Schizosaccharomyces pombe: one gene and its partners. Changing the gene in region 3 together with the main gene of any one other region gives a genetic interaction. Each region holds a gene or a part of one and is shown on either strand. Other genes may lie near its edges.

Evidence for each region. A genetic interaction does not mean that the proteins touch.
Region 1: of ryh1 (region 3) and ric1, extra expression of one rescues a mutant of the other (dosage rescue), as found in Schizosaccharomyces pombe (2 studies listed by BioGRID).
Region 2: mutations in ryh1 (region 3) and dcr1 together harm fitness more than expected from each alone (negative genetic interaction), as found in Schizosaccharomyces pombe (3 studies listed by BioGRID, with this or other methods).

What each region holds. Positions count from the first base shown.
Region 1 is NC_003424.3:4,501,935-4,509,758, forward strand, and holds ric1 (Rab-specific(Ryh1/Ypt6) Ric1-Rgp1 guanyl-nucleotide exchange factor subunit Ric1/Sat4), read right to left. Parts: upstream 4,948-7,824; 5' UTR 4,908-4,947; coding exon 1,749-4,907; 3' UTR 1,552-1,748; downstream 1-1,551. Other genes in the region: CK2 family regulatory subunit Ckb1, read left to right, coding at 474-496, 576-855, 1,061-1,453; grp1 (GRIP domain-containing protein), read right to left, coding at 5,664-7,824. UniProt on the Schizosaccharomyces pombe protein: Probable component of a guanine nucleotide exchange factor (GEF) that may be required for efficient fusion of endosome-derived vesicles with the Golgi.
Region 2 is NC_003421.2:1,503,507-1,513,428, reverse strand, and holds dcr1 (dicer), read left to right. Parts: upstream 1-2,871; 5' UTR 2,872-3,138; coding exon 3,139-7,263; 3' UTR 7,264-7,283; coding exon of another isoform or gene 7,284-8,367; 3' UTR 8,368-8,429; downstream 8,430-9,922. Other genes in the region: ER to Golgi ceramide transport protein, lipocalin superfamily Svf1, read left to right, coding at 233-255, 727-1,846; septin Spn6, read right to left, coding at 7,284-8,367, 8,430-8,488; Prp19 complex subunit Prp45, read right to left, coding at 8,973-9,065, 9,114-9,922. UniProt on the Schizosaccharomyces pombe protein: Required for G1 arrest and mating in response to nitrogen starvation. Ago1 regulation of cytokinesis and cell cycle checkpoints occurs downstream of dcr1. Required, indirectly, for regulated hyperphosphorylation of cdc2.
Region 3 is NC_003424.3:1,191,197-1,198,050, forward strand, and holds ryh1 (Rab family GTPase Ryh1), read right to left. Parts: upstream 3,950-6,854; 5' UTR 3,841-3,949; coding exon 3,718-3,840; exon of another isoform or gene 3,675-3,717; coding exon 3,515-3,674; intron 3,438-3,514; exon of another isoform or gene 3,436-3,437; coding exon 3,324-3,435; exon of another isoform or gene 3,212-3,323; coding exon 3,001-3,211; 3' UTR 2,418-3,000; coding exon of another isoform or gene 2,001-2,417; 3' UTR 1,950-2,000; coding exon of another isoform or gene 1,866-1,949; 3' UTR 1,815-1,865; coding exon of another isoform or gene 1,720-1,814; 3' UTR 1,646-1,719; coding exon of another isoform or gene 1,583-1,645; 3' UTR 1,509-1,582; downstream 1-1,508. Other genes in the region: pseudouridine-5'-phosphatase Pud1, read left to right, coding at 1,349-1,396, 1,466-1,508, 1,583-1,645, 1,720-1,814, 1,866-1,949, 2,001-2,417; SPOM_SPAC4C5.03 (multispanning membrane protein, CTNS/PQ domain protein), read left to right, coding at 5,799-6,707. UniProt on the Schizosaccharomyces pombe protein: Has a role in retrograde traffricking of proteins from the endosome to the Golgi. Involved in protein transport to the plasma membrane. Involved in the secretory pathway where it has a role in acid phosphatase secretion.

The DNA of each region.
Region 1 (7,824 bases), 3.3 Mb from region 3:
AGAGACTTAACTACAATGATAGCTATATCATTCTACAAAGTGTCACTGTCACACCTGTATTATTCCTTAAAAGGTACAACATCAAGTATAATGTAAATAACACAGCAATAACAAAATAGAAGTTGCTTTGTAGCAGATGGAACGCTAAATATTTCATTTTTGTTGCTAAAGCAGTTTTAATAGAATGAACTATTGTGCTACTATAGTGCATCCCAGTGCATAAACGTTTAAGTGCTAGATAACATACCGAAGTGCAGCAAATTGAATTTCTAGTAACACGCTAATTAGTTTTTCATTCCTTTAGTGTAGAATGAAGGAAAACACCGGAGCTCCAGAAAGACTACGATACGACAACGTACTTCTCTTCAAATTTTCCATATATTAGAAGCTGCTAAGGCTGAAACGGAAATCAAATTTTGCATTAAGCAATTAGGATTTTTGGTGCAGCTTTTCAACGTAAATCGGAACGAAGCATGCAGCTATACTCTTCGGAAAGGTTTGTGCAAATTAGGGTTAAATAAAAAAATATTTTACATTTTGGCCATATTGGACCGTTTATTAATCATTAATTGCAGTGAATCCGATGATTCTCAATATTGGGTTGATTGGTTTTTAGGACTAAAAGGAAACGAATTTTTTTGCGAAGTCGACGAAGACTTCATCCAGGATCGCTTTAATTTGACTGGATTGAGTCATGAAGTTCCACACTACTCCCAGTCTTTAGACCTCATTTTAGATGTATTGGATCCTGATTTACCAGAGGAAGTACAAGATGAGGTAGAAGCTAGTGCTCGTCATTTGTACGGCCTTATTCACGCCCGTTATATCTTAACGGCTCAGGGTTTATATAAAATGGTAAGCAATTATGTTTGTAAACTTCTAGTTTCCTGTTTTTAAGTTTGGATACAATCTTCGTGAACAAAACAGGCATTAGACAAGTATAATGGACACTAAGTGTGTAACTTGACTTATCTTTCAATTCTTCAATTTTATTACATTTATGTCATACCGTACTATTTCGTTTTAATTAGCTTTGGATTTTGACTAACATCCTTTCTAGCTTGAGAAATACAAAAAATGTGACTTTGGGCATTGCCCTAGAGTTTTATGCAACGGACAGCCAATGTTGCCCGTCGGCTTGTCGGATATTGCCCATACAAAATCCGTTAAATTATACTGTCCTCGGTGTGAGGATGTGTACACACCAAAATCACAAAGACATGCATCCATTGATGGTGCATATTTTGGAACCTCATTCCCTCACATGCTTTTTCAGGTATACCCTGAACTTGCGGTCCCTAAATCTCAAGAACGCTACATTCCACGTATTTTTGGTTTCAAAGTACATAGCTATTCTGCTACCTTTAAAAAACAAGATGTATACAAAGAAAAGCAAAAAAAGCGTTTACAGGGAGCCGAAGCTGAATCAAAAAATAAACTGGCAATAACTTAAAGGCATTTTGCTTAATCTTCATTAACAATAGAAGTTCACCCGATTCTTCGAAGTCCCATAATCACCAAGGCAAAAAATTTTATTTACATTATAGCTATGACAGTTTTTACTAGAATGAACTTTTACGTTTTTAGATTTTTCCCGAAGCATCAGCTCCTTTTATCTAAGAGCGTAATTTTCAAACTTCTAATCATCATTGAAGCTAAAACCTTTTATGCTTATTCAGCTTTGAACCTCTTTTTTTACTTTGATAATTGCTTTAATAATTTAGTTTTGATCATGACATATACTGTGGTTAATATTTATCCACTTCTTTCATCAAATTGTTAAATTGATCGTAAAGACGAATGTCCTTGGAATCAGGCCCTTCATCGAGAAGTTCCAGCGCTGTCTTCAGTAAACGTTTTTCGGGATCCAGACTCACCAGGTAGCTAGATAACTCCGTACAAACGTCCCAGTTTTTTATTTTTAAAGCCATTTCGTATATACTTAGAAAGGTAGAAGCACAACTGGCTGAACCCTGATGGATCTGCCATATTATCAAACACTCTGCGGCACTTTTAACATCTTCTGTTTCTAAACACTTTTTCATTAAGTCTTTTGGTTCTCCGAAATACTTAAATATCATCGGCCAGTATTCAGCTTCAGTTTTTCGCAGGCAACCCAGAACGATTTTAAAAGTGGTAAACTCTTGCAAGTCTTTAAATAATAAGGATACTTCATAAAGCAATTTATCTCGCTGTGATGAGTTGTAGGTCAATAATGATGAAGAAAGTAATTTTTCTAACACAAAATTGATATAATGCAAGTGCCCATATGTCTTGACTAAGTCAATAGCTTGCTCACGTTTATCTAACAGTAATAGTGCTCGAACAATTTCCGGAAGGAATGGATAAACACCTATTTGGATATGAGCGTATTCCATCTTATTAACTAAGTTTTTATGACCCTGGGTATAAGCAGTTAATAGAAGTCCATAATTGCTTAATACAGTCAGCAAACATCCCTGAGATTCCAGATCTATACATTCCTTTTGAAACTTTTCAGAAATATTTACATTTTTAATCAATTTAGCAAGATGTGTGTTATCAAAGTTACAATCAACCCCATTTTTGTAGACAAAGCTGGGCGATCTGAGGTCTTCAACAGATAAACGATGAAAATTTTCTAGAGATACTCTTTTTGATGTATTGAGAAACTTTGGAAGGCCATCTATAAGGTTTTTAGTATTTATCAAAACAGAGGAAAGGATCTCGCTAAAAGATAACCATAGCTTAAGTCCCTTTCCCGTCATGATCCATATAGAATGAAATAATGAAGGGATTTCTTGACTTCCATTGATAAAGTAAAACTCAACGTCTCCCGCTAGCATGCTGCACTGATATAAAAGCTCTTTAGAATGTTGTTTTTTTAGACTTAACAAAACAAGTTTTCCATTAATGAGAACCAGAAGGACTGCATAAAAAAGTAAATCAGAAGGTTGAATATTTGCAAGGTCTTTTGGTAGTAATAACGTTATGCTTCGAACTCTGGATGGAGTAGTGAATATTGGAGCAAAATTTACGGATGTTAAATAGTCGAGTTCTAATCTTCCTAATTCGTTTATATCGAATCTGATGTGATGGAGGAAATTATCAGCTGTATAGACAACCAAAGAATATTCGTCGCAGACTGACATTGTCACAATTGTTGAAGTAAACGATAATTTAGCCAAGTTTTCTCTATCGTCTAAAGGCCCTTTTGCTTTGTATAGGTGTAGCTCAAAGTTGGACTCGCAAACAACACCGGCTAGCAAAAATTGTGAGCACCAAATCATTGGACAAGTAACACTGATTAATTGTTCCATATTGGCATCTTTATATAAGAACCAGGTCTTTTTTGAGCAAACATATATAGCTAATCCATGAAGCCCAGCGATTGCTATCAAACTTCCATCATCTTTGATAGAAACATATCTAATAGGCCATTCAGAAGCAACATATGGTTGAGGATACTCAACTTGATCCCAAAAGTCAATGCCAAAATTGTTTTTAACGCTAGAACAAAATTCATATGACTTCGAAATATATAACCGATCGCTAGTTTGAGCTCCACAAACTTGCAAGGTGCTTTGTACACTTGAAACTATGGTGCTCTTTAAAAAAGGTAAAATATAAATAGTGCTAATAAATTGTTTAGAATCCGTAATACTATATAAGACATCATTTGTATTGTCGTTTTGTGACAAATACTGGATATCAACGTTCTCTTTTTCCATAGCAAAAAACTCGTCGTTTTCTTTTAAGGATTCGGCGATAATCGGAGTAGATAATCCCGTTCCCTCAGCTTCACCTGTAGAAGAAAAATTTTTAGATCCTAGTCCATAAAAGGAAGAACTATCTCTATCCCAAAAGCCACAGGATAACCCAAAATTAAAATATTCAGTTTCACTACTAGCACAACACAAGTTGAGATAAGGAGACAGTGTAGCCCAACCGTCATCGTATCCAACCATAACTTGATGGCCATCACCTGTCGTAGCAATATGATTAACCTTTCCGGAGCTTGCCGAATATTTAAAAGAATGAGTTTGAACATATTGGCGACCGAAATCTCGTATTTCATAAGCATACACAGTTCCATCGGCGGTACCAACATATAAAAGAGAAAATCTGGCATTTGTAGATAAAACAGTCGCCTTCTTTTCTCTAAGCTTGGATTCCAGGTCCTCATTAATGTCCTTGTCATTATCTGACTTATTCAAATCTACAGGGTTATGTACGCAAAGGCCAAACAGACTTTTCGTATTCGTGTTGGAAGAAACACCGATATTGGCATAAACTCTTCCATCAGTTGACATCCAAAAGAAAGTGTCGATTTTAACATCGAAATAGAGTCGAGATATGAGAGAAGAATGATCCAGAAACCAAGTGACTTCTCGTAAATCGTACTGTTTACTTGACACTTTCCACAACTTATTAGGGTCAGTTGTTTCCAGCGTTGAAACCTGAATAATTGGTGCAGAATCTGCAGCATAAACGATGGAGTCCCTTTGAATCTCCAGGCATTTAAGCCCACCTCCATATCGCATAGCAAGCTTGTATTGGATTTCACACTTTATAGGCCCAAATATTTCGCCAGGTCCATCATCGTATCGAGTTAAATAAGGACTTGGCGTTAGTACAGGCTTGGAAGCATTTAAAGTGAAATGATAGACAGCTACATAGTTCTTTTCAGTTGCAACCGCTATAATTCCGTATTCAGAGTTAACAGCTATTTTTTTGTTCTTTCCATGACGTTCAAATAAGTTCTGAGACTTTGTTATCTTTGATATGAGTGTCAAGGGTCGAATTTGATATATTAAAATCTCGGTTTCAGTCAAAACAACGAAGAACGACACTTTAGGGATTCGACATATTTGTATTGCTCTGGAGGACAATTGTATTCTCTGAGGTGTTCCATGAAGGAAGTACATGAATAGTTCACCTTATTCGACAAGGAGTTTAACCATTTCCAAGGATGCTGAACCCTTTGAGAACGTAAGGATCAACAGTTGACGCTGATGTTCTACCACCATTTTCGTTAAAAAGTGCAACAAAAGGAACAACTTAATTCGTTAAATAATAATTTCGCAATTTGTTAATTTGCAACTTGCATATCAATTGAAGGATACTTATATTATTGTATAATGGAGCTGATATTTTATTTACTAGATGTCAAACGAATGCAGTAATCTAGGAAAAAGCTTCTAGTCCATTTTTACTTTAGGAATGGCAAATTATGCTCTGCTTTGTTAACGAAAGTATTGTCAAATTGTACAATAGATTAGCCATCAGCTATAAAATTACAATAAGGCTTCAATTCATTCATTGGTACATGATTTCCTATTCATTTCCCTAAATGAGAGGTTTGAAAAAAGTTAATTATAAATCGAATAGACCTAAGCTCGGTTCAAGATTTCAAAAACAAGACAAAGAACTTGATTGGTTTAATTAATTATTCGCAAAAAAAAAAAACGTATTTGAATTCGTGGGTTCTATGCAAAAGACCGTTATTAACATTATAATAGCATACCCTTCCAAAAGATATTATCGCGTGAAATCACTGCCAAGAATGGAAAGCGGCATACAAAATCAAACAAATGTTCCACATCGTAATGGACATTAACAATATGATGAATAATACAAAGAAAGAGAAAAAAGCAGTAAAACGGAATGAAAATTTTACCACATTAATATTTCACAGACAAAAGCTTTTGCTTTTGTTCTTCAGACAAATCTAACAAAATCGACAGCAAGTTCACAATTTCAGGCCGACGATCCCTCTGTTCGAGAAATTGGAAAAGAATGTTGCGTGTGTATTCCTTATCTATTAGCATGTCATCCGAGCCAGGATGCTTAGAATTAACTTCCACTGACGAAGAAGAGCGGCTTACAGAACTGTTTCTCCCATGGTTAGAAGGTTGTTGCTTACGTAGTTGATTGAACACATTTTTGAATGACTTTTGCAGGTGTTCGTATCGTGCTGTCGAATCTTCCAAATTCTTGAGAAGTGTTTGATTTTCATTCTTCAGGGCCTCCAACGATAAACCGTTATCGGGCTCAACTGATTGAGTTTTCACGTTGGAGTTTTCAAAAGAAATGGCCAGCTCCTGATACTTTTTATTAGCTTCATTCAACTTAAGTTTCAGTTCATCTATTTGAGAATTTAGTTCATTAATTTTCTCCTGGAAACTAACGCATTCAGCTTGGGAGTTAGTCAGACTGGATTCTAAGCTTTTAATCTGAGTTTCGTAATCAGAAGATAGGTTCGAGTAATGGTTTTCACCAGCCTGCTTCAAATCTTGACGTTCCAATTCCAATTGCTCAACTAATAAACGTAATTTCTGACTATCCTGCGTTTGTTCACGGAGTAATTTACGAAGTTCAGTCAGTTCTTCCTCTTTGTTTTGCAAATCTTCCTCCTGTTCTTTCAGTTGACGGTCGAACTCATTGTTTTGTTCTTGTAATGAGGTAAGTTTATTTACCGTCTCTTTCATTTGAAGTTGCTTTTCCTGTGCACTGGAGAATAGTCTTTTCCGTTCTGCTTCACTCTCGGAGACTGTTTGTTTCAAAGAAGTAATTTCGTCTTTAAGCTGACTATTAGATGTGATGTAAGAATCAAGTTCTGTCTGCATCTGCGTTCGGGATTGAAGTAACCTACTTTTGAGTGATTCAGCATCGTTCAGTTTTTTAATATTCTTTTGATTTTCTTCTCGTATTGTTTCACATGACGATTCTGCCCACAGTAAATTTCTTCTGCATTCGTCAATTTCGTTTTGCAACTTTGTAATATAATCGTTTAAGTTATCAACTCTAGACTTCAAACTTTCAGAGTTCTGCTTAAATTTTTCCGAGTTTTCCTTTAAAGTACTTTCGGCAACATGTAACTGCTTAGTAAGTTCTTCAACAAGCTTTGGCGTTTCTAAATCTACGGTATACTCTTTCGGTTTCAAATCCAAAAAAACCAAAGGAATGGTATCTGCTAGGTGTATTTTATGGTGATGAAACACATATTTCGGCCAGTTCAATAATGTATCTAAATCAGTGAAAGAAAAATGATGCATTGGTTCCTTGGCATTGGCATTAACAATCAAATCATCATTAGCTATGTCTCTTCGTTCCTCTTCTTTACTATCGGCAACTGTATCTTGTTCTGCATCTACATCTTCACTTTGTGCTACCTTTTGTATGTCAGGCGTACTAATGGACTCGGAAAGCGCATCATTCTCTGTAGTCGCTTCTATATTTTGTTTAGTTGACTTTTTCTTTTGATTTTTACGATTCCTTTTCTTCTTCTTCTTTGATAAAGCACTGCTGACACCTATAGTATCAGTTGAGGGCCTTGAAACTTCGGGAACGTCATTTTTTGTCTCTACTGTTTTATCATCTTTCAAACTGGAAATAACCTCCTGCTCAATGGATTGTGCACTTTCCAACGAATTAATCTTCTCTTCAAGTTCCGAGCATCTTTGTATTGACTTTTCTAGCTCATCTTTTTTCTGTAGAATTAAACTGTTTTGATTACTTATTTCAGAGTTCAGCTTTTCAATTTGATCCTCGAACTGATGTTTTAAATTCTCCCGATCAGTCTGTAAATCATTCACTTCATGCGATAATCTCCTAACTTCGCTAACTGTCATTTCATAACGATGCTCTAAATTCTCCATAAATTCACGGAATCCTTCTAAGTCTTGAATACTTGACAACGGAGTTTTCTCCTGTAGAAGCTTTTGAAACGCTACAACGTTATTTTGTAGTTCATTCAATTTTTGTACGACGGAGTCCATATTTTTCGCGTCCTCTTCATTTTGAGAGAGCTTATTAGAAGATTTATTATTTCTTCTTAATTGA
Region 2 (9,922 bases), on a different chromosome or scaffold from region 3:
TTACGTCAATCACTAAACAATCATCATTCCATTTTTTTGGCTGCTTCGGTTCCGTAACGAATTGCACTAAGTGCTTTTGTTTTCCCAGCTCATCTTAGTTATCCTTTACCAACATTTTCTTTGTCCTATTTTTTAGGCCATTAACGTGTCCTCTCTCCGTTTGCTGGTCGCCTATCTTTTGCTTTGTGTGTTCCTAGCTTTTTCATTTTCTCATTTTTCATTTTAATTAATCATGAAGGCCTGGCTACAATCTAGGTAAGTACAACTGGACATTTGGATTCGATCGCTGCCGAGTGCTTTTTTCTTCGTTTCAGCGAGGATTTGTAATTCAAACGCAAAAGAATGGATTTATACAGTGATTTACAATGTGTATGTTCAATTTTTGGTACTCTTTGGCTTGATTAGAGGTTGTAAAAATATGGACCCCTAAAAACGGATCGAGTGTTTGTCCTATGAATAAAAACGGTAATATAATCGACTAATAATTGGATATCGATATGTATTCACTGACATTTCCTTCATGTTTTCGATTATTTTTTTTGTCTTAAAAATTTTTTTTTAAATTCGATGAGCAAAAAACAAAATTCTTTTTTCTTTTCCGTTTTTTTCATCTATCAGACATCTGCTATTTGAATCCATTTTTTTCGTGTTGTCTTACAAAACATTCAGTTGTCTATTCTAATAACTTGTTTTTACTGTTTTTTATTATTTCTAACTCGATTTTAGCATATCCTACTATACTGGCACAGCGGAACCCGTTTATGGTCCTGAGGCTATCCAACCCGTCACTGCATCCGTTCAGGGCATTAATCCTTTCCATAGGCTTGAAGCCGACGACTTCAAATGGAGCACTCCCTCTTCCAGCCATGTGGAAACGCAAGTCTTTTATATCAAGCCAAATGAGGGTGACTATATGTGCTTTGTTCAATTGATACATTCCAACTTGGGTTCTTGGACAACCACCGCTCAATCTACGTGTCGCATTTTCGATTTGAAGCATCCTGAAAACGATTTGTGGACTTCTACCAACATGGATCAATTTAGCTTTGAAAATGACAAAACCTCCTTTGTCGCCAAAAATTGCTCTGTCGTGTTGGAAGACCAAAAGCGTTACCGAATTCGTGCCTCCATCAACATGGACTCCATCATCGATATAACTGTCCATCAAGACGCTCCTCCTTTTAAAATCGGTGAAGATGGAAATTCTACTTATGGAACAGATCCTAGTAAGCCCTGGGCTTCCATGAAGCATACCTTTTGGCCTCGCACTCGTGTTGAAGGTAGCATCGTTGCAAGGGGTAGAGTTGTGGATGTCACTGGTCCCGGCATGTTTGTTCATGCACTCCAAAATGGCAAACCCCACCATCTTGCTTCATCTTGGGAGTTTGCCCTCTTGCAGCATAAAAAGTTTACCGCCATCATGATGCAGTTCAAGACACCCCCTAGCTATGGTTCTACTATTGTCAATATTGGTGGTATCGCTATGAAAGACAAAATTATTAGTGCAACTGTCGATAATACTATTGAGCACGTTGAGACCACACTCGATCCCGATACGGAATGGCATGAACCCACTCGCATTTCCTACGAATGGGACGGAAAGGATGCTGAAACATACACCGAAGATATTCATCTTTCAGTCGATGCTCCTTTGGGAAGACGTCTTCAACGCATCGACGTTCTTGCCGAGATACCATCTTGGCTTAAGGGTTTCGTCCATGGAGTCTCTGGAACGAAACCTTTCATCTACCAATATTTCTCACCTGTCAAATTTACACTGAAGATGGGTGACGAGGTTATTGAAGATGAAGCCACGCTTTTTAATGAGACTACTTTTATTTCATAAGCATCTTTTAACAAAAATATTCAAGCATAAATAATTCGATGCATTTTGGGCTTAAACAAAGAGTGAACGTGCATCCATCTTTTTTTCAGAGCTTTTCTATATTAAACTCTCTGGTTTTGTATTCTTTTTTTCCTTTTTTTTGTCCTGTTGTTTTTAATTTCGTGTCTTCGAATTTTTTTTTCATACTATTTTTCGTTTTATTAAAATAACTTCATATAGACTTATCACTTATACTCTGAACTTGATAGTTGTGCTGCTCTCATATTGAATATGATTCTTGTTAATGGTCTTGTGCTACAAGCTCTGAAATTCATTCGTTCTCTTGTTTGTGTACTAAATCGATCTTGTCATCCTAATACCTATACTGATGGACATGGGCAAGGCATCTGGCAAAATTGTGCATTCGCTTATGTTTATTGAAAGACTGCAGTCTGTGTAAACGAGCGAGAATGTTTTAAAATTTTTTAAAAATTTGAATACTTTTCATTTTAGAGACTTCAAATAATATTGTTTTCATCATTAAGTGGATACTAATTAGCAACTTCTCAACTTCTATTTTATTTAAAAAACTAATTCATTGTAAATGTTGTATTGGTTTTCTACGAAAGCAGTTTTTCTATTATTGATAATTTCGCTTTTACCACTTTATAATAAAAAAGTATTGTATGTTTAATGTTTTCTAATATTTTTTTAATAAGTTTTCCTATGTTCCGATAAGAGCAGGCAGTGAACGCGTAAACAGATATATATGTATGTATTTATTATTAAAATATTATGTAAATAATTCTTAAAAAACCGAATCATTCTAGCATAAAGCATTGGAAACCAGTAATTCAACGTAACTGAATTTCACGGATTTACAAGCAAGTCGTACAGTCCTTTCTTCATTCAATAATATTGATTTAATAATAATATGTATATGCAATTTTCCTTTTTTTTTTTTTTTTTTTTTTAAACATTTTAAAATAAAGCATAGGCGTTTAATCATTTTTTATTAAAGTGCGTAACTTATGTTGTAAAAAACTACCACCTACTTTTCTCTTAAAACACCAGAATCTATAAGTGTAATGATTCCCCTTAACAACGAATTTAGAAGCTATCAATAGTATTGCGTCTGTTTTTATCAATCTCACAAACAATTATAGGAAGTATTCTGCTCGTGTGATTGTTCTTTTTCTTCTGGTAAAGATGAACATATGCATGTTTATTTGAATAGCTTAGGATTCATTATTTTTTAAGAGACAAATTTCTCGTCAATTGAATGAAACCTTCCGCCTTTATTTTCTTTTTGAATGGATATTTCAAGTTTTCTACTTCCTCAACTTTTACGTAAATATCAACAAGATGTGTATAATATCGCGAGCAAGCAAAATACTTTACTTGTTATGAGAACGGGCGCTGGTAAGACATTACTTGCTGTGAAGTTGATAAAACAAAAGCTCGAGGAGCAAATTTTAATCCAAGAATCAAATCTTGAACATAAAAAAATATCAGTTTTTCTCGTCAACAAAGTCCCTTTGGTATTTCAACAAGCGGAATACATTCGATCTCAACTACCGGCTAAGGTTGGCATGTTTTATGGCGAATTATCTATAGAAATGAGCGAGCAGTTGTTGACTAATATTATATTGAAGTATAATGTGATTGTTATTACTGCAGATTTGTTCTATTTGTTTCTTGCAAGAGGTTTTCTTTCAATAAATGATTTGAATTTAATTATATTCGACGAATGTCATCATGCAATTGGAAATGATGCGTATGCTCGCATCATGAATGATTTTTATCACAGAGCCAAAGCAGTATTGTCAAAAAAACATTTCACCCTACCAAGAATTTTTGGTATGACTGCTTCACCATTCACTGGAAAAAAAGGAAACTTATACCATCGACTGTATCAATGGGAGCAATTATTTGATTCTAAAGCACACGTGGTTTCGGAAAACGAGCTAGCCGATTACTTCTGTCTTCCCGAAGAAAGCTATGTAATGTATTCCAATAAGTTGGTTGTGCCACCCTCGGATTCTATTATCAAGAAATGCGAGGAAACTCTTCAAGGATGCAAGTTAATTTCTCGGGCTGTTAAGACTGCTTTAGCAGAAACCATAGATATGGGTCTTTGGTTTGGGGAGCAAGTTTGGTTATATTTGGTTGATTTTGTGGAAACGAAAAGATTAAAAAAAAAGGCTTTAGGGAAGCAGTTGTCAGATGACGAGGAACTGGCAATTGACCGGTTAAAAATATTTGTTGAAGATTGGAAAAATAACAAATATTCAGACAATGGCCCTAGAATCCCTGTTTTTGATTCCACTGATGTTACTGATAAAGTCTTTAAACTCTTAGAATTGTTAAAGGCTACTTACCGCAAAAGTGATAGCGTTCGTACGGTTATTTTCGTTGAAAGAAAAGCTACGGCGTTTACTTTAAGTTTGTTTATGAAAACTCTTAATCTGCCTAACATCCGCGCTCATTCTTTTATAGGACATGGACCGTCCGATCAGGGTGAATTTTCTATGACATTCAGGAGGCAAAAAGATACCCTTCATAAGTTTAAGACTGGAAAATATAATGTTTTAATTGCTACTGCAGTTGCAGAAGAAGGTATCGATGTACCATCATGTAACTTAGTTATACGCTTCAATATTTGTCGGACTGTCACCCAGTATGTCCAATCTCGAGGTAGAGCGAGAGCAATGGCTTCAAAGTTTCTAATTTTTTTAAACACAGAAGAGTTGTTAATTCATGAACGCATTCTACACGAAGAAAAAAATCTTAAATTTGCCCTTTCAGAGCTCAGCAATTCGAATATTTTTGATTCATTGGTATGTGAGGAAAGAGAACGTGTGACTGATGATATCGTCTATGAAGTTGGCGAGACTGGTGCTTTACTCACAGGGTTGTATGCAGTTAGTCTGCTTTATAACTTTTGTAACACACTTTCAAGAGACGTATACACAAGATATTATCCCACTTTTACAGCTCAACCCTGTCTTTCAGGTTGGTATTGTTTTGAGGTAGAATTGCCAAAAGCCTGCAAAGTTCCAGCGGCTCAAGGATCTCCCGCTAAATCAATTAGGAAAGCCAAACAGAATGCTGCGTTCATCATGTGTTTGGATCTGATTCGTATGGGTCTTATAGACAAACATTTAAAACCCCTAGATTTTAGAAGAAAAATTGCCGACCTTGAAACTCTTGAGGAAGACGAGCTAAAAGATGAAGGTTATATCGAGACATATGAGCGCTATGTACCAAAAAGTTGGATGAAAGTTCCTGAAGATATTACACGTTGCTTCGTCTCTTTACTTTATACTGATGCTAATGAAGGAGACAATCATATATTCCATCCCTTAGTGTTTGTACAAGCTCATTCATTCCCCAAAATTGATAGCTTTATTCTTAATTCGACTGTTGGCCCCCGAGTTAAAATTGTTTTAGAAACGATTGAGGATAGTTTTAAGATCGATTCTCATCTGCTTGAGTTGTTAAAAAAATCAACTCGTTATCTACTTCAATTCGGTTTATCTACTTCTCTTGAGCAACAAATACCTACTCCTTACTGGCTTGCGCCTTTAAATTTGTCATGCACGGATTACCGGTTCTTAGAAAATCTGATAGATGTTGACACTATCCAAAATTTTTTTAAATTACCGGAACCTGTTCAAAATGTTACTGATTTGCAATCCGATACTGTATTATTAGTAAATCCACAGTCAATATATGAACAGTATGCTTTTGAGGGATTTGTCAATTCTGAATTTATGATTCCTGCTAAAAAGAAAGATAAGGCCCCTTCTGCCTTATGTAAGAAACTTCCTTTACGATTAAATTATTCACTTTGGGGCAATAGAGCTAAATCCATTCCCAAATCACAGCAAGTGCGCAGTTTTTATATCAATGACCTCTATATTCTCCCAGTCTCTAGACATTTGAAAAACAGCGCCTTGCTAATACCCTCCATACTGTACCATATTGAAAACTTATTGGTCGCCTCTTCTTTTATCGAACACTTTCGACTTGATTGTAAAATTGACACTGCTTGTCAGGCTTTAACATCTGCGGAATCACAATTGAATTTTGATTACGATCGTCTAGAGTTTTACGGAGACTGCTTTCTAAAATTGGGTGCTTCTATTACAGTTTTTTTGAAATTTCCTGATACTCAAGAGTACCAACTGCATTTTAATCGAAAGAAAATTATTAGCAACTGTAATTTGTATAAAGTAGCAATAGATTGTGAGTTGCCGAAGTATGCTCTCTCGACTCCCTTGGAAATCCGTCATTGGTGTCCATATGGTTTTCAGAAAAGCACATCGGATAAGTGCCGCTACGCCGTTTTACAGAAATTATCGGTTAAGAGGATAGCAGATATGGTCGAAGCTAGTATCGGTGCATGTCTTTTAGACAGTGGACTTGACTCAGCACTCAAGATCTGTAAATCTTTAAGCGTTGGTCTGCTGGATATCAGCAATTGGGATGAGTGGAACAATTATTTTGATTTAAATACATATGCGGATTCACTGAGAAATGTTCAATTCCCTTACTCCTCGTATATAGAGGAAACTATTGGATATTCATTTAAAAACAAGAAACTACTCCATTTGGCATTTATTCATCCTTCCATGATGTCTCAGCAAGGTATTTACGAAAACTATCAACAGTTGGAGTTTTTGGGTGATGCTGTATTGGATTACATTATCGTACAATACCTTTATAAAAAGTATCCTAACGCAACTTCTGGCGAATTAACTGATTACAAATCTTTTTATGTGTGTAACAAGAGTCTATCATACATTGGCTTTGTTTTGAATTTGCACAAATATATCCAACATGAAAGCGCAGCAATGTGTGATGCAATATTTGAATATCAAGAATTAATTGAAGCGTTCAGGGAGACTGCTTCAGAGAATCCGTGGTTCTGGTTTGAAATTGATTCACCAAAGTTCATTTCAGATACTTTAGAAGCTATGATATGTGCCATTTTTTTGGATTCTGGGTTTAGTTTACAATCTCTACAATTCGTTTTACCTCTTTTTCTTAATTCGTTAGGGGATGCGACACATACTAAGGCTAAAGGAGATATTGAACACAAGGTATACCAATTACTGAAAGATCAGGGATGTGAAGACTTCGGAACAAAGTGTGTCATCGAGGAGGTGAAATCCAGTCACAAAACATTGTTAAATACTGAACTCCATTTAACAAAGTATTATGGGTTTTCATTCTTCCGCCACGGGAATATTGTTGCTTACGGCAAATCCCGTAAAGTTGCCAATGCAAAGTATATTATGAAACAAAGACTTCTCAAATTGTTAGAGGATAAGTCTAACTTACTTTTGTATTCTTGTAATTGCAAATTTAGTAAGAAAAAGCCATCAGATGAGCAAATAAAAGGAGATGGAAAAGTTAAAAGTTTGACTTGAGACTTGAAATATACAGTATTTCATTTTTTATGACCGCGGCCCTTGTAACTTTTCAAACTTTCAATTTGGGTCTCCAAAGCACGGATCCTTTCGTGATATTCAGAAAGTTCCGAATTCAAAGCATCTCGAGTTTCAATCATTTTCTCTTCTTTGGCCTGAAAGAAGCTTTCAGTTTCATTAGTCATTTGTGTTATCTTTTGTTGAATCGCACGTTTCTCATTGTTCAAGCGTTCGTAATGCTCTTTTTTCAGCTTAGGAATGCCACTCTTTCGATTCGTAAGCTGCTCTCTACGATATCGTTCATAGATGTTGGTTTCAGTTGTATTTATAAGCTCGAGCATATGCCTATTAATTAGCAATTTCTTCAATTTTAAAAAATCACAATGTGTTTCTTCATATATTTCAGAGGTTCCCCATGGGTAACGACGCCCTTGCGATTTTTCCCCATCGTCTTTGCAAACTTCATTTACACTGGAAATGATAGCGTAAGGTAAGGATGAATCTAGTAATTCGGCAGTTTCGTAATCAGAATACTCTGTTGATGGATGGAAAACGTCGATTGATTGAGCTTCCAGGATCCTTCTAATTTTTTGCTTTATTTGTGTTAATTCGGGAGTTGTAAATGTATCTGCCTTTGCTATTACTGGCACAAGGTTTACATGGGTCGATAGCTCCTTCATAGCTAACACATCTAAAGGAAGCATTCCAAACGAAACTGGCGTAATAAAGTAGAGACAAACGTGGACTCTAGTGTCTTTCCTTGGTACACGGAGAGAGTTTTGATCATGAATTAGATACCTTTCGTGTTGTTCGTCTAAATATTCTGCAACCGTATTCCAGCAACTGGTATTGTCAATGAAATCACCGAACCCTGGGGTGTCGAGCACCGTAAGATTGATATGAAAACCATCTTCTTCAATTACGGCCTTATTCTTTTTAACTTCTAAGGTCTTTTTGGCTATGGTCTCCTTAGCCGTTTCATATGATTTTTCTGGTTGCAAAGAAGTAGCAAAAAGAGTATTGAAGAACGTTGTTTTTCCAGTACCTGAGGCTCCGCAAAGCATGATTGTTAAACCACATTCTTTTCTTTTTATTAAATTTTCTCTGTGGTATATTTGTTAATGAATGATTTATGAATTTATGACTAGATTGTAACGATAACATACCTTTTGGATGGTAGACTATCCAAATTTAATAATAATTGAAGGTTTTCAGTCAAAGACATCGTAAAAATTTATTTCTCGAACTATCTGTATTTTGCTCTTTAGTAGGTTCAGGTTTGTTTCAAACAGCGTTTATCAGCGAAATATAAACAAACAACCGAATGTCCAGTGATAAAAAGCACAGATAAATAAATAAATATGCCTCATCAAAAATTTTTAAATATACAAATTAAATTATCTACATAGAAGACTTTTAATTCTTTTTCACATCTTGTACCAAAATACTTTCATAATCCTGGTTTACCAGAGTTGAAACAAGAATACAAATAAAAACGATGCTCAAATTTACTAGCTCTTTAATCATTAGAAGAATAAACATTAATTTTTAAGACTAAATATGAACTTCTGTTGAATTAACTGCCTTGATCCAAAAAAAACACAAAACGTAAATTGTACTTTTTTTTATTTTTAAGACAGTCATATTCCAATGAATAAAACCATACAATAATGTACATTTTCTTTGACAGTGTCAAGGATCGAATAGAATTAAGTTTTCTTTGAAGAAACATTATTCAAAAAAGTATCTACACCAAAAGGATCAGCAATATCTTTCTCGAAAGTGACGGGGCCAGCACGAGACTAAGAAAAGTTAGTATTTAAGTAAAAGTATAAGATATTGAAACATACCTCTACGACTTCATCCGATCCTTTGAACTTTTTATGCGCATTTCCTAGTACATCATAACGACTTTCACTAGTAATACGTTCCAATTCTGCAGATGCATCAACTTGACGGGACAAAGTAGCACCCGGTCTATATAACGTTGATGAAGGTGCCGCCCGCCACGGTTTATCATACACATTGTAACTGTCTTCGTCTTGAAATCCGGATCCTAAGCCAGAAGCCTGATTAAATAATCTACTATCGATCATTGTATCGCTTGACATTGATGGTTTTGAAAGTCCTAAAGCAACCCTTTCAGCGACATCACGAGGTCGATCTTTTTCAGCAAGCTTAGCACGTTTTTCAGCACCCATTCGACTGAGACGAAGATCCTTTTCAGCTTGGCGTCTTCGCTCGCGGCGAAGTTCTTGACGACGGCGAAAAGCTTCTGAATCCTCATCTTCATTTTCTGACTCTGAATGATGCGAGAACGATCCAGCTCTGGAACGACTTCTTTCTTCAGAGGAGACAGAAGTAGAGCGGGGTTTTGCATGTGAAGGACCCGAAGAAGCCGCATTTCTACCCATACGATCTTCCCTTGCTTTTTGAGCAAGCATAAATAAACGTTGCTCCTTTTCCTGCTTTTCCTTTTCAGCCATCTTTTGGCGCATTATGGCACGATATCGGACCTCTTCACGAGCTTGACGCTCCACCGTGTACAATGCTTCAGAAAATTTGGCAAATCCATCGTTGATTTCAACATCATTAAGACCACGACCATCAGCGGCCAGCCGCTTATCCAATGGAATAGTGTAGCCTTTCGGATTTTTCC
Region 3 (6,854 bases):
TGTTTTATCTTTGTTTTCTGTCCTCACGGCAATCTGCATTTGTTATTTATTGCTGTGTTAAATATCCATATTTTTCGTCATCCGGCAAAGATCCTCCAACTCGCCTAACAGTGAGGTACTTGTGACCTTGGTTAAAACAAACTTTGACTGTTTTTCTACACTCGGTCCAACAATTTCACATTATAGTTGACACGATTCTACGACATGGCTAACGTGCGTCGCTATTGTACTTGTAAATTTTGTCTGACCAGCTCTTCTTTTCAAAATACATGGCCAAAATGGGTTCCAATAGCTAACTGATTAGTCACCATTTTATGAACAGAATCCAAGTGGCTTTATCAGAAACGCTTTAAAAACCAAAGAGAGTAATTAAAACAAAAAAAATTCAACATAGCATACTTCATGAGGGAGAATGGCTGGTCATTGAGACTTTTCCTTTTCCCTCAACTTCTGTTTATACAATGTTTTAGTATGAGATTCCTGGGCGAATCATTGCCTGCTTGATTCGAGAATAATGCGTGAGCTGTTCGCTATGTTCAATTCTGTTATACATCGCAATATGTCAAATGTTTTATTTCTCTATTCACTGTACATAAATGATACAGGATAGGTTCATCATTGCTTATAGTCAGCTGGATATTATTCATTGATATATAATGAGAGCCTAACAGAACCAGTATTATTCAATTTGGAAATGAACGATCTCAGTGTCAAAATATTCATCACCTTCATAGAAAAATATCCCAAAACAATCGCTAACTTACACTACCTGGGTACCGCGATATAGATAAGTAAATTACAAGGAAAATTCACCACAGCTTAAGGCATCATTAAAACCGGATTACAATTTCATGGTTAATATAAACGCTTAATTCTCTTTCAGTAGTGCGGTTGAATTCTCACTAAAACAGATTAACGAACTCTTCAATATTGCTCCCAATCATCCGACACACGGATTTACTCTAATCTACGATTGTTGATTACTTATTGCAGTTTGCACAGTTTTGGGATTTAGCTATTTTTCATTCTGCCTAATTATCACGCCTTACTGTATCGACGTTTCTTTGTTGATCTTTAACAACTGTCCTTATTTTTTGGTTTTTCGCGGATTTTTTTAATTAGATATACAGTTAACACTTCATTTGTCGGTGTCTTTGTTTTCTTTAATTGTATTTGTATATTTAATTGTTAATTCTTGTTTTGGAAGATTTTATACTTTTTTATTGGTTATACAGCAATATACTTTTTTGAAACTTGATTTTTTGGATATCCCGGAAGTTTTTTTTCTGCTTTTTTTTTTCTTTGGTTTTGTTAGGTCGTAGAAGCTTCACTATCTTTTTACCTAGAAATGGCTGCTAAACACGTAAAATACATGGCTTGTCTATTCGATATGGATGTATGTTTATTTTTCACACCACATTACCTCTTATGAAAGCTTTTGCATTAACAATCACTCTTTTTACAGGGTCTACTTGTCGACAGTGAAACTATTTATACAAAGACGACCAGTATGTAAATAATATATCTGTGCTTATATTTAGCACAAAACTACAATGTTTTCTAATCTTTATTTTTTTTATAGATCTTATATTGGACAGGTATGGCAAGGATCCTCTTCCTATTTCTGTTAAGGCTCAAATGATGGGTATGTTATATAAAGCTAGCGAAGAGATATTTTAAAATGCTTTCAAAATTGCAGGTCTAACTTGCGATACGTAGGGAGACCGGGTTCCGCAGCTGCCAAGGTTGTTATAGATTGGTCCAACATTCCTATGACTCCTCAACAATTCGTTGATGAACAACAGGTTATTCGGGTACGTACTTATACGCTACATTTATTTCCATTTCAACTAACTTTCTGAAAGGCAAAGTTTTGGTCGTCTTTGAAGCCTATGCCTGGGGCTGAATCTTTGATTAATAACCTCTCCAATCATGGAATTGATATCGGGGTATGTACTCATCCCTACGCTATAATAAAAGTGTGCTAACAGCATCACCAGCTTGCTACTTCCTCTAATACCGCAAATTATAATATGAAGACAGCCCATCTTAAACATATTTTTGAGAAATTTGGTAAAAATGTTATTACAGGTGATAATCCTAGTATTGCACCTGGTCGTGGCAAACCTTTTCCAGACATTTGGCTGAAGGTGTTGAATTTAATAAATGAAAGTAGGAAGCAGCGAGGTTTGAAGGCACTTACACCAAGCCAATGCATTGCCTTTGAAGACAGTATTCCCGGTGTCAAAAGTGCAAAGGCTGCAGGAATGCATGTCATTTGGGTTCCAGATGCTGCCATCAAAAACTTGGTAGGGGATCAGCTGAATGAGATTGTTGATTCTCAATGTGAGACGTTACCGAGTCTTTCAGAGTTTGATATAAACAAATATCTTAACATAAATTCAAAGCAGGCCTAGAGGTTATATCCGCTAACTTTTTTTTGGTTCATTCAATTTTTTTTGGCAAAAAACCTCATATCTTTTAATAAAATTAAAAAATTGAAGTATAAATAAAGTTCTACTGTTTCAATGAAAACCTTGAACTGACTCACATAGCATAAATAACTTATGAGTAAAGGGAAAAAGCGAAATCTAAAAAAAAAAAAATAATAACATTTCTCTGAATTCCAAAATCATACATTGTAATTTTTTTCCTTCTTTGCAAATGCCCTTGAAAAGTCAAGAAGCACCGCAGGGATTAAACGAAAGAGACTTATTCAGAAATTCAACTTCTCACTTTTGTAAAGCATATATCATAGAGACAGGATTAAAATAAAAAAGGACTAAAACAAGTAAAAAAAGAAGGAAAAGGAAACAGGTATAAAAGGAATCGCGATTCTTTAAAGGTGCAAAAGATTTAGGGGCTATAAGAAGATATATATATACTCACAGTATACTTTTTGAGGGTCAAATGACATTAAAAACCGCTGATTGCGGCCTGAAGCGAAAAAAAATAATTCACGAAACAGTTAGAGTACACTGACATGTTCAATGAGATACACTAGCAATTGCAGCTGCTTTCATTCTCGTTAGGCTGAATGCTAACGTCAATCATTTGAGTGCTTTGTGTTTCCACATTCTCCATGCCTGGTAACATTTGTGCAATTTTCCTAAACAACAGTTTTACATTGTGACCCGCTTTAGCACTAGTTTCCATGTGCATTATTTTTAATTCTTTTGCCTTTTTTTCTCCTTCTTCTTGAGTCACTTGCCTAAACCACCGTTAGCATAAGAACCATCAAAAACCAAAATATAGCTTTGGAATTATGAATGAAGAGATGTCGCATTGTAAATGCTGAATCTCTGTTAGCTGGAGTGTCATACCTTTTATCAGCCAAGTCCGTTTTATTACCAACGAGAACAATTATAACGTCGTCTCCCCGCTCAGCACGAACATCTTCAATCCATTTCTCAGTATTTACAAAAGAGTTATGGTCTATAAGTAGTTAGCAGATATTCGAAAATAAAGTCTGAGTAAAAATATATGGCAAAATTACTGTGCCACTATTACTTACTAGTGATATCGTAAACAATAATAGCAACAGAAGAATCCCTAATATACGAAGGAATTAAAGAACGGAAACGTTCTTGACCAGCAGTATCCCATAGTTGAAGACGAACCGTTCGATCTTCCAAATACATAGTCTTGCTTAGAAAGTCTATACCAATAGTAGCCTTGGACCCTGTTAGTAAAGAAGTTTTAATTATAGTTACTTACTTGATAAGTATTATCAAACTGATCGTACATAAATCGTGTAATTAACGATGTTTTGCCAACTGACTGCTCACCGAGAAAAACCAACTTAAATTTACGCAAAGAAAACGAGTAATTTTCTGACATTATGACAAAAAGTTTTGACTTCTAAATATACACAGACAAAAGTAATTTAGATACAGACGGAATTGCTTATTGATGATCAAAAAGCACCGTACTTAATAGTGGTAGTAGTGAGTAAAGACTATCGTGCTACAGTGAGATCCCGCCGCATATCCTTAATATACTTTCGCTTGTTTTACTTTTCATTCGCTTTTACGAAGTTTAATCTCGGTAAAGTAATTCTATAACAAACAACTTTTTCGCTGAAAAAGAAATCATGAACTCTCACCGTTCTTAAATTACTAAGCATTCCTAAAGATGGGTTCTTTTTCTTTGAGTTGTTGATAGTGATAGGTTTTTGGGTGTTAAAAAACATACAGCTGTAACAACAGTTTGTTTACTACTCATAGTTTTATACACAACATTTCAAGGAATGACAACTGGGATAAAAACGCGCCACATCGCATGGGAAGGAGGAGTCATCGAGATTTGATTATCATTAAACTATATAATACAAGAAATCTCTCGATTGGAATGGCCTAATTTTTGCTGAGAGTAGCTAAGTTTACAAAAAAATATTGGACACGCTGGGGATTGAACCCAGGACGACTCGCATGCAAAGCGAGCATGCTACCACTGCATCACATGCCCAAACATTGAAGGCTTCAGCATATTAGTAAAGTATAAGGTAATTTTTTTGTTTAGTAGCTGATGAAAGAAGGAAAATGGAAAGTAGTTAAACCATAGAACAAGCTTGAAATTCAACATAATGGCTTTATTCCATTTGAAATTTTATTAGAATGTTTCATAATCTACGCATCCTGTCTGCTACCAAGTTCAAGATTGGCAGACTGCACCAAACTGTTCGAAAAATGTATGTTTGTTAACTTGAATAAAACTAGCTGTTAAACGAGTCAGATTTAAGCAAAATATAAGCTTTACAGGAAAATATACTCGAGTTAATTTAGCAAACTCGGTCATTTCATTAATGATACAATTAGCTACGGAACAGCCAAGTCAAATTTTATACTTAATGTCAACAATAACAGGTTAGTTAGTGGGTTTTAATTTAATAATTTTCGAAATCAATAAAAGAGTAAATAGTATGGCTTTTCAAGCTTAGATTCTTTTAAAAATAAATTTTTTTTTTATTTGTATCCTTATTGCAATATGACGAAAAGTTCAAGAAAGATAAGAGAATTAAAAACTAAGTTATTTCATAATTATTAGCTGCTGTTTGGAATAAAAAATCTCGGAATTTAATGATAAGATGAAAAAGAATTTAAAAAGTAAATATGTAGTTATATATCCTATAAAAAATTTGGTTCAAACGATTAATTTAGATTATTTAGAATCTTTAAAAAGATAATGGGGTTAAAAACAAAAGAACTTGATTTTAGATTCAATTTAGAAATTTTTTTGTAAAGTGTCTTGATGTATTTCAATTTTTAGATGTGTAGCGCCATTTCATTTCACTCATGTTTTTAAAAGAGAAAAAAATTTACCTAGTTTATTAAGATATACAATTCATTCAGTTCCTTTTATCTTCTTCTATAATTCATTGTTTATTTACTTATTTATTTTCTCCAATGTCAAATTTATAGCACTTTAAATATCGCAAAATTTCAATATTATACGTTACAGCTCACAACTTTGTGTCTAAGCCCTCCGACTAATGTAGCTTACACTGCCTCTCCTTTCCCCATTTTCGACAAAATTAAATGAAAAATCCAATTTTTTGGCGATTCTTCCTTTTACTTATTTATTAAACACCAATTATTTCAAAAGGAAATTTTAAATTGTCTTTCCTTAGTGACGCTTGTTCAATAAGCCCCAAAGTTAGCAACCTTTACTTCATCGTACCATTATTGGCAGCCCAGGCATCGTTTATTTATATATTTTTATACAAAGCATTAGAAATTAACTTCGTATTGCATTTCTTTATTACGATTTTATTATAGGAGACGAAGTACGTATGAACGATGGAGTTTAGCACGAGCAGTTTCATTTTTGATGATGATACACCACCGAAGTGCCCTTTGGCAACAAAAGCTAGCTTTATCTTTTCAGTGTATATTATCATAGGCCTCATCATTTCTTACCTGTTACAAATCTTTCGCATTGTTCGTCTCGGAAGTTCGCAAGGCTTAAGTTTTTCTTACCTTATTTTGGGTTACATAGGTGTTCTTAATGCGTTCTCAAATGTCATTGCTCTACAAATTAGCCCTTTAACTGAATGCTGTCAAAATTACTATTCCAAAAAGCAATGCTTTGCTAACACAACCGGTTTAATTCAAGTGGGTTCTCAGGTACTTATTATGGGTTGTGTTCTTATGGCTTTCTGGATGTTTCTCCCTCGACCTATTCACTTTGTTGCAGCAGATGACGAAAATGGTTTACCAATCCCTGAGCCTTTAAGTGTAACGAAAAGTCGTAAATGGCGAAAAGCATCTTATGGGCTACTTGGTGTATTTACTTGGGGATTGTTTATCATCTGTCTATCCGCAACCGTCCTTAGTTCGAACTTTGCTTGGGCAGCATTCCTTGGATTTAGCGCTTCATTCTGCGCGGTCGTTCAGTATGTTCCTCAAATCATAAAAACTATACGCCATCAAAGCCATGGTGCCCTTAGTATCCCAATGATGATGATGCAAACTCCGGGTGGATTTTTGATCGGATATTTACTATCCAGGTTGCCCGGTACTAATTGGACTACGTACATGATGTATATTGTCAGCGCATGCCTTCAAGGATTGTTATTAATGCTTTGCATGTTTTATTTGCACAAAGAAAAAAGTAGAAGAAAGAGGGAGGAATTGCAGGCCACTTTACAGGAAGAAGAAAGTCAGCGAGCTGTACGAATTTTGGAAGCCGAAACTGGTCCCGAATAATAACATTTTCTTTATGTTTTCACGTCCCTTATCTATTTGTTTACCGAAAAAATTCCTAATATTTGTTTCATTCAGTTAGTAAGGTTTACTCTTCAAAAATTTTTTCCGCACATTAGAATTGGATTGCGTGATGTTATACGTTTTGCT